2 linked regions of the Canis lupus familiaris genome follow. The main gene of each other region encodes a partner of the protein of the gene in region 2 in a complex. Links are inferred from orthologs where the notes say so. Each region holds a gene or a part of one and is shown on either strand. Other genes may lie near its edges. The genes, in order: DBN1 and ZMYND8.

Region 1 (4,477 bases), on a different chromosome or scaffold from region 2:
CGCTGGATGGCCTCTGGATCCCAAACTCAATTCTAGATATTTCCCACCCGGGAGCCTCTGCACATTAATTTCCCTCCACAGGAGGGCTAGACCTATTTATCCATCCCATGGGCCAGCCCTGACTGAAATCCTTCAGGGACCCAATGCCAGCTTCCCAGGAAGCCCTGTCCTAAGTTGCACCTCCTTAGAGCACTTACCATACCCCATAAGGGATGGCAAGAAGCCTCTAAGCCTATCCTAGATCTCATTAGACCTGTACTTCTCAAACACATCAGAGACAGCCAGGCCTGAAAGGGTGGAAGCTGTTGAAACCACAGGTATCAGGATGGGGTCCCAGGGATCTACATGTCTCTTCAGCTTCAACCCCTGGAAACAGACAACGCCTCTAACTGTAAGCTGTGTGAAACGGAGACATCCAATTCAATCAACATGCATCACTCACTGGGTCCCGGGTCCAGCACAGGGCAGAACCAGTAGGTATCTGTGATATTGACACAAACTCTGAGAAGCCACCGAGGCCAGAGACACTGGACTAGGGTGAGGTGGGCCTGGGATGTGCCACTCCAGGGAGATCCCATGTTCGGTTGAGGTGGGGACCAAAGGCAGATGGAGGAGCCCTCAGTCCAATTCCACTCTCAGGATGCTGGAGCTGGAAGGTGCCTTGGGGGTCCCAGATATGGTGGAGTCCCATCCCCTCCTTCTCTTTTCAAGAGGACCAGAGAGGAGCAGACACTTGTGTGTAGTTAACACAGTGAGTAGTGTCCTATCCAGGGCAACAGTCCGTTTCAAAGGCTCTGCCACATAGGAGCAATATCCCCCTCAGAGGTAAGTGAAGGCAGTACCATGCCTCTTGACCAAGACAGCAATTGTACCCAAGATCCACTCCTCTGGCCTCTGAGTACAGGGTCTGCCCCCAAGTCCTGAGACTCCACTATACTCCTGGTTCTGTACTGGGACTGGGGGCACTCATGCCCTACTCTGCAGGATGTGTTCTTCACATCCTCTTTACAAAACGCTATCTAGGCCCTTGGGAGTTAGCAAATGTCTGTATGTACGAGGGTGCATGTGTACATGTGTGTCCCACACACAACCCAGATGGGGGTGACGCATGCCAATGATGAATAACTTGCTTTGGCCACATGGATGCTGCTGAGTGGTGGGAGCCCAGGCCTCTGCTAAACAGAATGTGGTCCAGCAGCGGTTGTGTACCCCTGTGCTGGACTGCCAGAACCTTGCTTTTGGGAGGTTAGAGGGAAACGGGGTGGTGGTATATAATAACCAGCAGACCAGAGGACGAGTAGGGTGTTCTAAGGCAGGGCTGTGCCTCTGCAGGCAAGGCCCATATCCTAAGCCTAGTTCCTCCACCAGGCCAAGCGGGCCACTTGCCCTGAACTCCTCCCATGATCTCAGCCCCCATGGGGCAGGGCTGGGACAATGGGTGGGCCTCCTGCCGGCTCAGCCTGTGCTGGCCTCTCCTGTGACTGACCTGCAGGACTTGAGGGCTTTCTCCCTCATCCATCCCTCCAGGCCTGGCTGCCCGCCAGTGCTGCAGTACCATGGCATGGACGCCTGGCCATCTTGCCCCTCCTCCAGCCCCCGGGTCAGTGTCCCTACCTAACTGCCCTCCTAGGATGAGGGTGAGGCCAGCCCACGTGAGGGCCCTCAGACCTAGCCTCACTCTGTGCCTCAGTTTCCTTCCTGCTAGGAAAAGACCAGGCCTAGAGAACAGAATGGGCACCTGTCCCAGGAGAGAGTATTTTGGAGGAAGGGGATTCCTGAATGGGGCAGTGTGGGACCCCTTTGCTTTCCTGCCACCCAGGGGTCTCCAGCCAGAGAGAGCAGGTGGTCCATCCCGTCTCAAGCTCAGGGCAAGACAACAGCCAGGAAAGGGAGAGAAGGTAGCTCAGCTTATCTGCCACGAGGAAGCTGACCACTGAGCCTGAGGCTTCGGGGCTCAATGGATGTACTCACTCTCTCCTTCCTGTTTGGGCGCTCCCTCCACACTTGTGTGCCTGGGAGCCTCCTCTCAGGGACCCCAGCTGGCCACCTGGCCAGGCAGCTCCCGGCCCCACTGCCTAGTCCCCGCAGTCCCCTCCGGATCGGGGAGAGGAGGTCTCAGCTCGGCCTTCTCCGCGACCCCTGAGGGGAACAGGAGTCGCTCGGCGGCGGCTAGGTGGCGAGGAACACGGCCCCCTCGCACCCCGGCTCCCAGAGGCCCCCGGTGGGCGGGGCGCCCCGGCCCCGGCCCCGGCCCCGGCCCCGGCCCGCCCCGCCCCTCCCCCGCCCTAGCTCTCCTTTGTGCTGCGGCCGGGCCGGGCCGGGCCGGGCGGGCTGCGCTGGCTCCGCTGGCTGGTTCCCCGCCTCGTCCCCGCCCGGCCCGCTCCCGCCCGAAGGTGGCGAAGGTGCCCTTGGCCGCCCCGTGCACACCTGTCCCCGGGGCCCGGGGCGGCAGGGCGAGGGCGGGGGATGGGCTCCCGCAGGGCGAGCGGCCCCGGGCCCCGCATCTGGACCCCGCGCCTCCCCGGAGCGTCCGGCCACCGCCGCGGCGCGAGGCCGGGGCCGCCTGCGGGCGCCCGGGGCCGGCAGCGCCCGCCCGGCCCGGCCCCTCCCCCGGCGCGCGCCGAGGCAGCCCCTCCCGAGCCCCCCGGGCCGCTGCACCATTGCGGGGCCCCCTCCCCTCGCGGCTGCGGGGCGGCGGAGCCGGGCGGAAACAAAGGCGGCGGCGGCGGCGGCGGGGACAAAGGGGCCGCGGGCGGGGGCGGGGCGGGGGCTCACCAGTCGGCCGCGCTCTCCTCCCGGATCACCTCCTCGTACGCCGCCAGCAGCTCCAGGCGGTGGCCGCTGAAGCTGACGCCGGCCATGCTGCTGGCCGGACTGAGGCCGAGCGGACGGACGCGCGGAGCACGGACCGACGGCCAGAGCAGGAGGCGAGGAAAGAGGGAGCCGCCGCCGCCGCCGCCGCGAAGCCTCTGCAGCGCCGCGAGCCCAGCGAGCCGCGGCCGGGGGAGGGGAGCGGCCGGCGGGGGGCGGGGGGCGCAGGCTCCGCCCGGCTCGCTCCCTCCGCGCGCCCGGTCCTAGCGCCGCCCGGCGGGCCCAGGGGGAGGCCGCCCCCCTTCCCGGCCTGCCCCGGGCGCCCCCAGCCCCGCGCCCCGCGCCCCGCGCCCCGCGCCCGCCCGCGCTCTGCGCTCCCGCACCCCGGCCGCGTCTCGCCCGCGTCCCCAGCCTCGCGCACGGTGTCCGCAGCGTGGGCGCTCACCCTTTCCCCCAGCCCCATACCCAGCAGCGGCACCACCTCGCGGGGTTCCCGTCTGCGGCCACCACCCAGGCCCGGCTTCCCCCCTCTCCTTTCCAGCTCCTAGTCCCAGGCCCAAATCCTCTTCGCTCCGGTTGGCACAGCTCTACCCCGTGCTTAATTTCTCTCCGTCCCAGCCTTAGCCCCATCCCCCTGCCATCCCAAACCAGGTTAAACCCATCTCCATTCCAACCCTCAACCCCAGCCCAACTGGACCAGCCACCTTGGCCCGTATGCAGCCCATACCCACCTCTGAAAGGTCCACTCCTAGGCCACCCCCATCACTATTCACTGCCATCTGTGTCCCTACCCCACATCCAACCCATTTCTTTCCCAGCCTACTTCCCAACCACGCCCTCAGTGCGCACCTCCACACATTCACAATAACCACCTTCGCTAGCAGCACCCTCGTCAGTCCAGCCTACCTTATTCCCGTTGGGATCCCAGTTCCCAACCACACCCCTCCATCCCTGCCTCCTTGATTGTGCTCAGCCCCAACTTAGCTCAGTACTCCAGGATTCCCAACTTCTTTCCCATCCCTGACCCACCTCTCTCCAGAGCACTCTCTCAGTTCCTGGCTGCCCCCAAGGGCTGTCTCTGATGGGTCCAGCCTCCAATTCCTTTGCCTTCTCTCCCAAGCCTCAGGCCTCACAGAGGAATCCCAAGTACAGTTCCAGAAGCAGCATCTAACCCCAGACTCCCAGGGCAGGGTTCCAAGTACAGAAGTCCCCTACAAGGGAGTGGGCACCACTGCCAGGGCCTCATGGAACATCGCCACTCCTTGCTGAGGTGGGACCCTGAAACTCTCCCCAGCTTGAAGAAGCCTTTTCCACCTCCTACACAGCCTCCCACCCCCATCTTCTTGGGGGAGGTGACAGAATCAAGCAAGCTTTACTTGGTCCAGTCTGGGAGATGGAAAAGGAGGTGGCCCCCAGTTGGGCCTCTGAGTTCTGAGATGGGTAATCAGTTACACCAAGAGGAGAAGGAGAGCAGTGTGCATTGATTAGCAGTGAGTCCCAGTGCTTTCAAGTAGGAATAACCTCTTCAAACCCCTTAAATTTCACAGACACCTCCCTCGGGTACTCTGCACCTACTATGCCATGGACCCCTGACCCTGGTGATTTCTCCACAGCTGCCACTTGGAGCAAGGCCCTGGGCAGAGTCAGTGGGATTCTGGGGAGAGAG
Region 2 (3,801 bases):
ATTTACACAAAGGTATTCATTGCAGCACTGCTTACAACAGGGGGAAAAAAAAAAACTGGGAGCAACCTAAATGCCCATCAGTAGGGGAATACTTGATTTAAATCAACTGTGGAATACTATGCAGCAGTCCAAAATAACATAGATAGAGCTATATGTGCTAACATGGATGAACTTCCAAAACATGCTGATGGGTGAAAAAAAAAAAAGAAAAAAAGAAGAAAAAAAAGTATGGTACCATTTGTATGTTTTAAAAAAAGGAAAAAGAAAAAAATACTATTTTTATGAAGAGTCATATATACATAAATATATATGCATACATGCATAAAAAAGGTTTCACGGTTAACAGTGGCCACTGAGAAAGGGTGAAGAATGGAATGGAAGTTCGGTCAAGACAACAGATTGTGGGGCAAATATTTTACCCCTCTCTAAGAAGCCTATATGCATGTATTGTTTCTAACACAGAGGGGAAAAAAAATAAAAGTGAAAAAAACAAGTCGCAAAACAACTTTTAAAAATAATGCCACATGGAATGCGCGAGGCCTTCAAGATACAAAGGCCATGAAACAAAAAAGAACTGAAAAAAAAAAAGAAAAGAAAAAAAAAGAAAAACATTTCTGTCTCTCCTGTCGATGTGGCGAGGAGGGAGTGGGCGCCACGTTGAACAGAAGGGGGCATGGTACCTTTCACAGCCTGTCTGGTCTGATATCTCGTCCCCTGGGTAGACTGAGGCTGCTGGCTCTGCTGCTGGCTCTGCTGCTGGCGCTGTATCTTCTGCATGTGCCACTTTTGGGAAGACGTTTGAAACTTACTTGACGAGTTCCACACGACCCGCTGCACGGCCGGGGCAGTCTCCTTCGGTAAAAGCGGCCTCTGCTTTTTCACCGGGCTTCCCGTGGCGGCGGCAGTGGCGGCGGCGGCGGTGGCGGCCGGGGCCGTGACCGTGGACGTGGTGCTGGTGGTGGCCGTGACACCAGCCGTGGGTGTTTGGGAGGAGGAGCGGGTGAGGAGCGGAGTTTCAGGTGGGGACTGGCTGCCCGCCGTAGTGGACGGTGGAGCTTTGCCTACAACTAAAGCTGATGCGTCGGGGGGCGGGGGGGACAGAAGAGGAGAGATTGGACTCAGGTTCACCTGCGGGGTTTCTCTTCTCCAGCATGTTCTGGGTTAAACAAAGCAAGGCCAACCAAGAATGCTGAACAAATTCAGTGTGGGAGGACCCCACCCCCGATGGAGGAGCACATCTCACCTTATCCACAGAGGCCGCTGCTGTGTATCTATCTCAGAGTGTCGGCCTCTTCTTGCCCACATCGGAGGCTCCTATAGGGGCCTCTGGGGCAAATGAGGCGAACTAGACCCAGCCCCTGCCCTCAAGCTGTCCACCAGTGAGTGGAGGAACAGAACCACCACAAGCTGTCTTGTGTTACGGTTAGAACTGGGTAAGCACTTTGTGAAACACCCAACCAAAGTCGACCCAGAGATTAAGAGAATCCTTTTGGCTAAAGAACCTATAGAGCCTGTACCCCTAAGTATCAGGTAACTTCCCAAGGGCCAAAGCACTGGAAACATGAAGTCACCCAGAAGGAGAGTCTCCCTTGACCTCTGACTCCCTCCAGGACTAAGTCCCAGTGTGCTCTTAATGGCCTTGACCCCTGGGACTAAAGGGAATTCCACTCCATAGCCAGAACCTTCCCAACACCATGGTATTTATCTCTAAGGAGACTTGCTTCTTTGTTGCTGTTGATATTGTTTTATAATGTTTTTTTTTCCACTTTAATTCCAGTCGAGTTAACATACGGTGTTCTATTTGTTGCAGGTGTACAATATCGTGATTCGACAATTCTGCATGTTACTTAGTGTTCATCATGGGAAGCATACGCCCTGCTTTTAATTCTGATATGTTTATTCCCACTGCCACCTTTTATCAGGCAATAACTGGTGCGATGGTCAAATCTACATCTAAAATGAGCTTTAAAAGCATAGTTTATTTTAGAGTAGCTTTAAATAAAAATACGAAGTCAATGATTATACAAAGCAAGACTTGGGAAGGGCAAGAATAATGAATGTAAATGACAAGTTTGGAAAAGGCTGCTTTCCGGGAGTCTGTCTTCTGGGAGGGGGGGCTGTGAGGGAGGGGCAGGATTTCAACAGGCGGAAGTGAGAATTTGGAGGGTGACTGCGACAGCCAAGACGTGTCCAGGAGCAGCCAGCATTTTGGTCAGTGAGAGCAGGCAGTGAGGAGTGGCAGGAAGGCGGGTTAGAGCCAGAAGCACTGAGCAGCACAGAAGGGGTAGCCCCCTTGTGCTCATTTGTAAAGGGGGGTCCGTTATCACCGCCGAGGTCCCAGCCACCAGTGGAGCGGGTCTGCCCCCGAGAGAGGATGCCCAGGGATCACACACAAAACACAGGTACAAGTCAGCACCCCCAACTTATCAGACAATGTACCTTGACATAAGTGCCTTTCAGATTTATGTAACCCAGAAAAGACATGACCTTGATTATTCCAGGAAGGATATTCAGTACCCTGAGTTTTAGGAAGTCAAGGAGAGTGACAGAAAAAAAAGAAAGGGGAGGGGGGCTGACTTTCCTGACTCAGGAGGCCAGGGGGTGCAGGGAGCTTCCTTGGTGGCCGTCCCATCTGTCTGGCTCTCCTCCGCCTTCCTGCTCCTCTGGAGAGGAAGGAAGAGCCCAGCCAAGTTCATAAGTGGAGCCGGAAAGGGAGGGAGCTCTTCATACAGTGAGGAACCCTGATCCTTTGCCGGGATGACTTTGCGTGCTGGATACTGGATACAGCCCCTGTACCTTCCAGGAGGAAAGGGGGCTCTGAACCCAGGTTTTCTAAGAGCCGTGCACCAGGGCAGTCCCCTGGTGGAGCTTCTAACTTGCAGAGAAGCACCTTCCATGCCTCCCTTTCCTTCCAGGTGATGAATATATATATCATTACTGTTGAGAAGCTAACCTAGCCCCTCTCTCCTCAGACAAAGGACAACCACAAATAGGTCCTTTTCTTTCTACTGATTTGCAGAAGCAAAGAGTAACTTTGTGGGTGGGCTGCTGCTCTGCAGTGGTGATGGCTGGCCCTCTGTTCCAAATAAAAACTGTGGAGTGTGCAATCCAAAAAAAGATTCTAGGCTCAAAGTACCCTTTGGGGTTACCAATTAGATACTAAAATATTTTGATTTCTAGAAGATTCTAATGGTTTACTGGGGGAAGTGGGGGGGTAGGAAATTCCATTTGTCCCAGAAATTTTGAGTGTATAATCAAACCGAGAGCCCAGAAAAGGGTGAATCTCTTCAAGGCCAACACTCCAGAAGCTGCCCCTACTTAATTAACCTACTTATTCTAGTACCTGAAGGGGGGTCTTTCTAAGAGAAAGATGGAAATTACCGGTGTTGTAAGGGAAGCACAGCGGGGTCTCTAAGGAAGCCTCCCTTTGCCTCTATTCTGAGATCACCAACTAGAAAGCTATTTTGCTACCTCAGGCTGCCTATTCTACATATAAGCAGCATTCCTGGCTAAAGGTGAGCTGAAGGTCACTGTGGCACACTGTAATATGCTCTTTACCTAATAAACTTGAAAGTGAGGGATCCCTGGGTGGCGCAGCGGTTTGGCGCCTGCCTTTGGCCCAGGGCGCGATCCTGGAGACCCGGGATCGAATCCCACATCGGGCTCCCTGCATGGAGCCTGCTTCTCCCTCTGCCTATGTCTCTGCCTCTCTCTCTCTCTCTGTGTGACTATCATGAATAAATAAATAAAATCTTTAAAAAAAAAAAAAAAAAACTTGAAAGTGAAAATACACCATTGAAA

The links.
Region 1: the proteins of ZMYND8 (region 2) and DBN1 are in contact, whole or in part, in a crystal structure (PDB 5Y1Z), measured with the Homo sapiens proteins. The link is inferred for Canis lupus familiaris from reciprocal best matches to the Homo sapiens genes ZMYND8 and DBN1. Residues at the interface, in NP_001350670.1 of Homo sapiens: Gln167, Pro168, Gly169, Thr170, Gln236, Ile237, Val240, Lys243, Ile244, His247, Trp269, Leu285, Gly287, Phe288, Phe307, Gly309, Gln310, His311, Asp312, Ala314, Thr335, Lys336, Ser337, Ile338; in NP_004386.3 of Homo sapiens: Met1, Ala2, Phe6, Ser7, Arg10, Leu11, Leu14, Tyr17, Glu18, Asp92, Ala93, Cys96, Ala97, Ala99, Ser100, Lys104, Glu107, Phe108, Gln110.

Annotation. Positions count from the first base shown.
Region 1 is NC_049225.1:36,784,362-36,788,838, reverse strand, and holds the start of DBN1 (drebrin), read right to left. Parts: upstream 2,990-4,477; 5' UTR 2,862-2,989; coding exon 2,776-2,861; intron 2,062-2,775; exon of another isoform or gene 1,972-2,061; intron 1-1,971. UniProt on the Homo sapiens protein: Actin cytoskeleton-organizing protein that plays a role in the formation of cell projections. Required for actin polymerization at immunological synapses (IS) and for the recruitment of the chemokine receptor CXCR4 to IS.
Region 2 is NC_049245.1:34,969,583-34,973,383, forward strand, and holds part of ZMYND8 (protein kinase C-binding protein 1), read right to left. Parts: intron 1,074-3,801; coding exon 681-1,073; intron 1-680. UniProt on the Homo sapiens protein: Chromatin reader that recognizes dual histone modifications such as histone H3.1 dimethylated at 'Lys-36' and histone H4 acetylated at 'Lys-16' (H3.1K36me2-H4K16ac) and histone H3 methylated at 'Lys-4' and histone H4 acetylated at 'Lys-14' (H3K4me1-H3K14ac).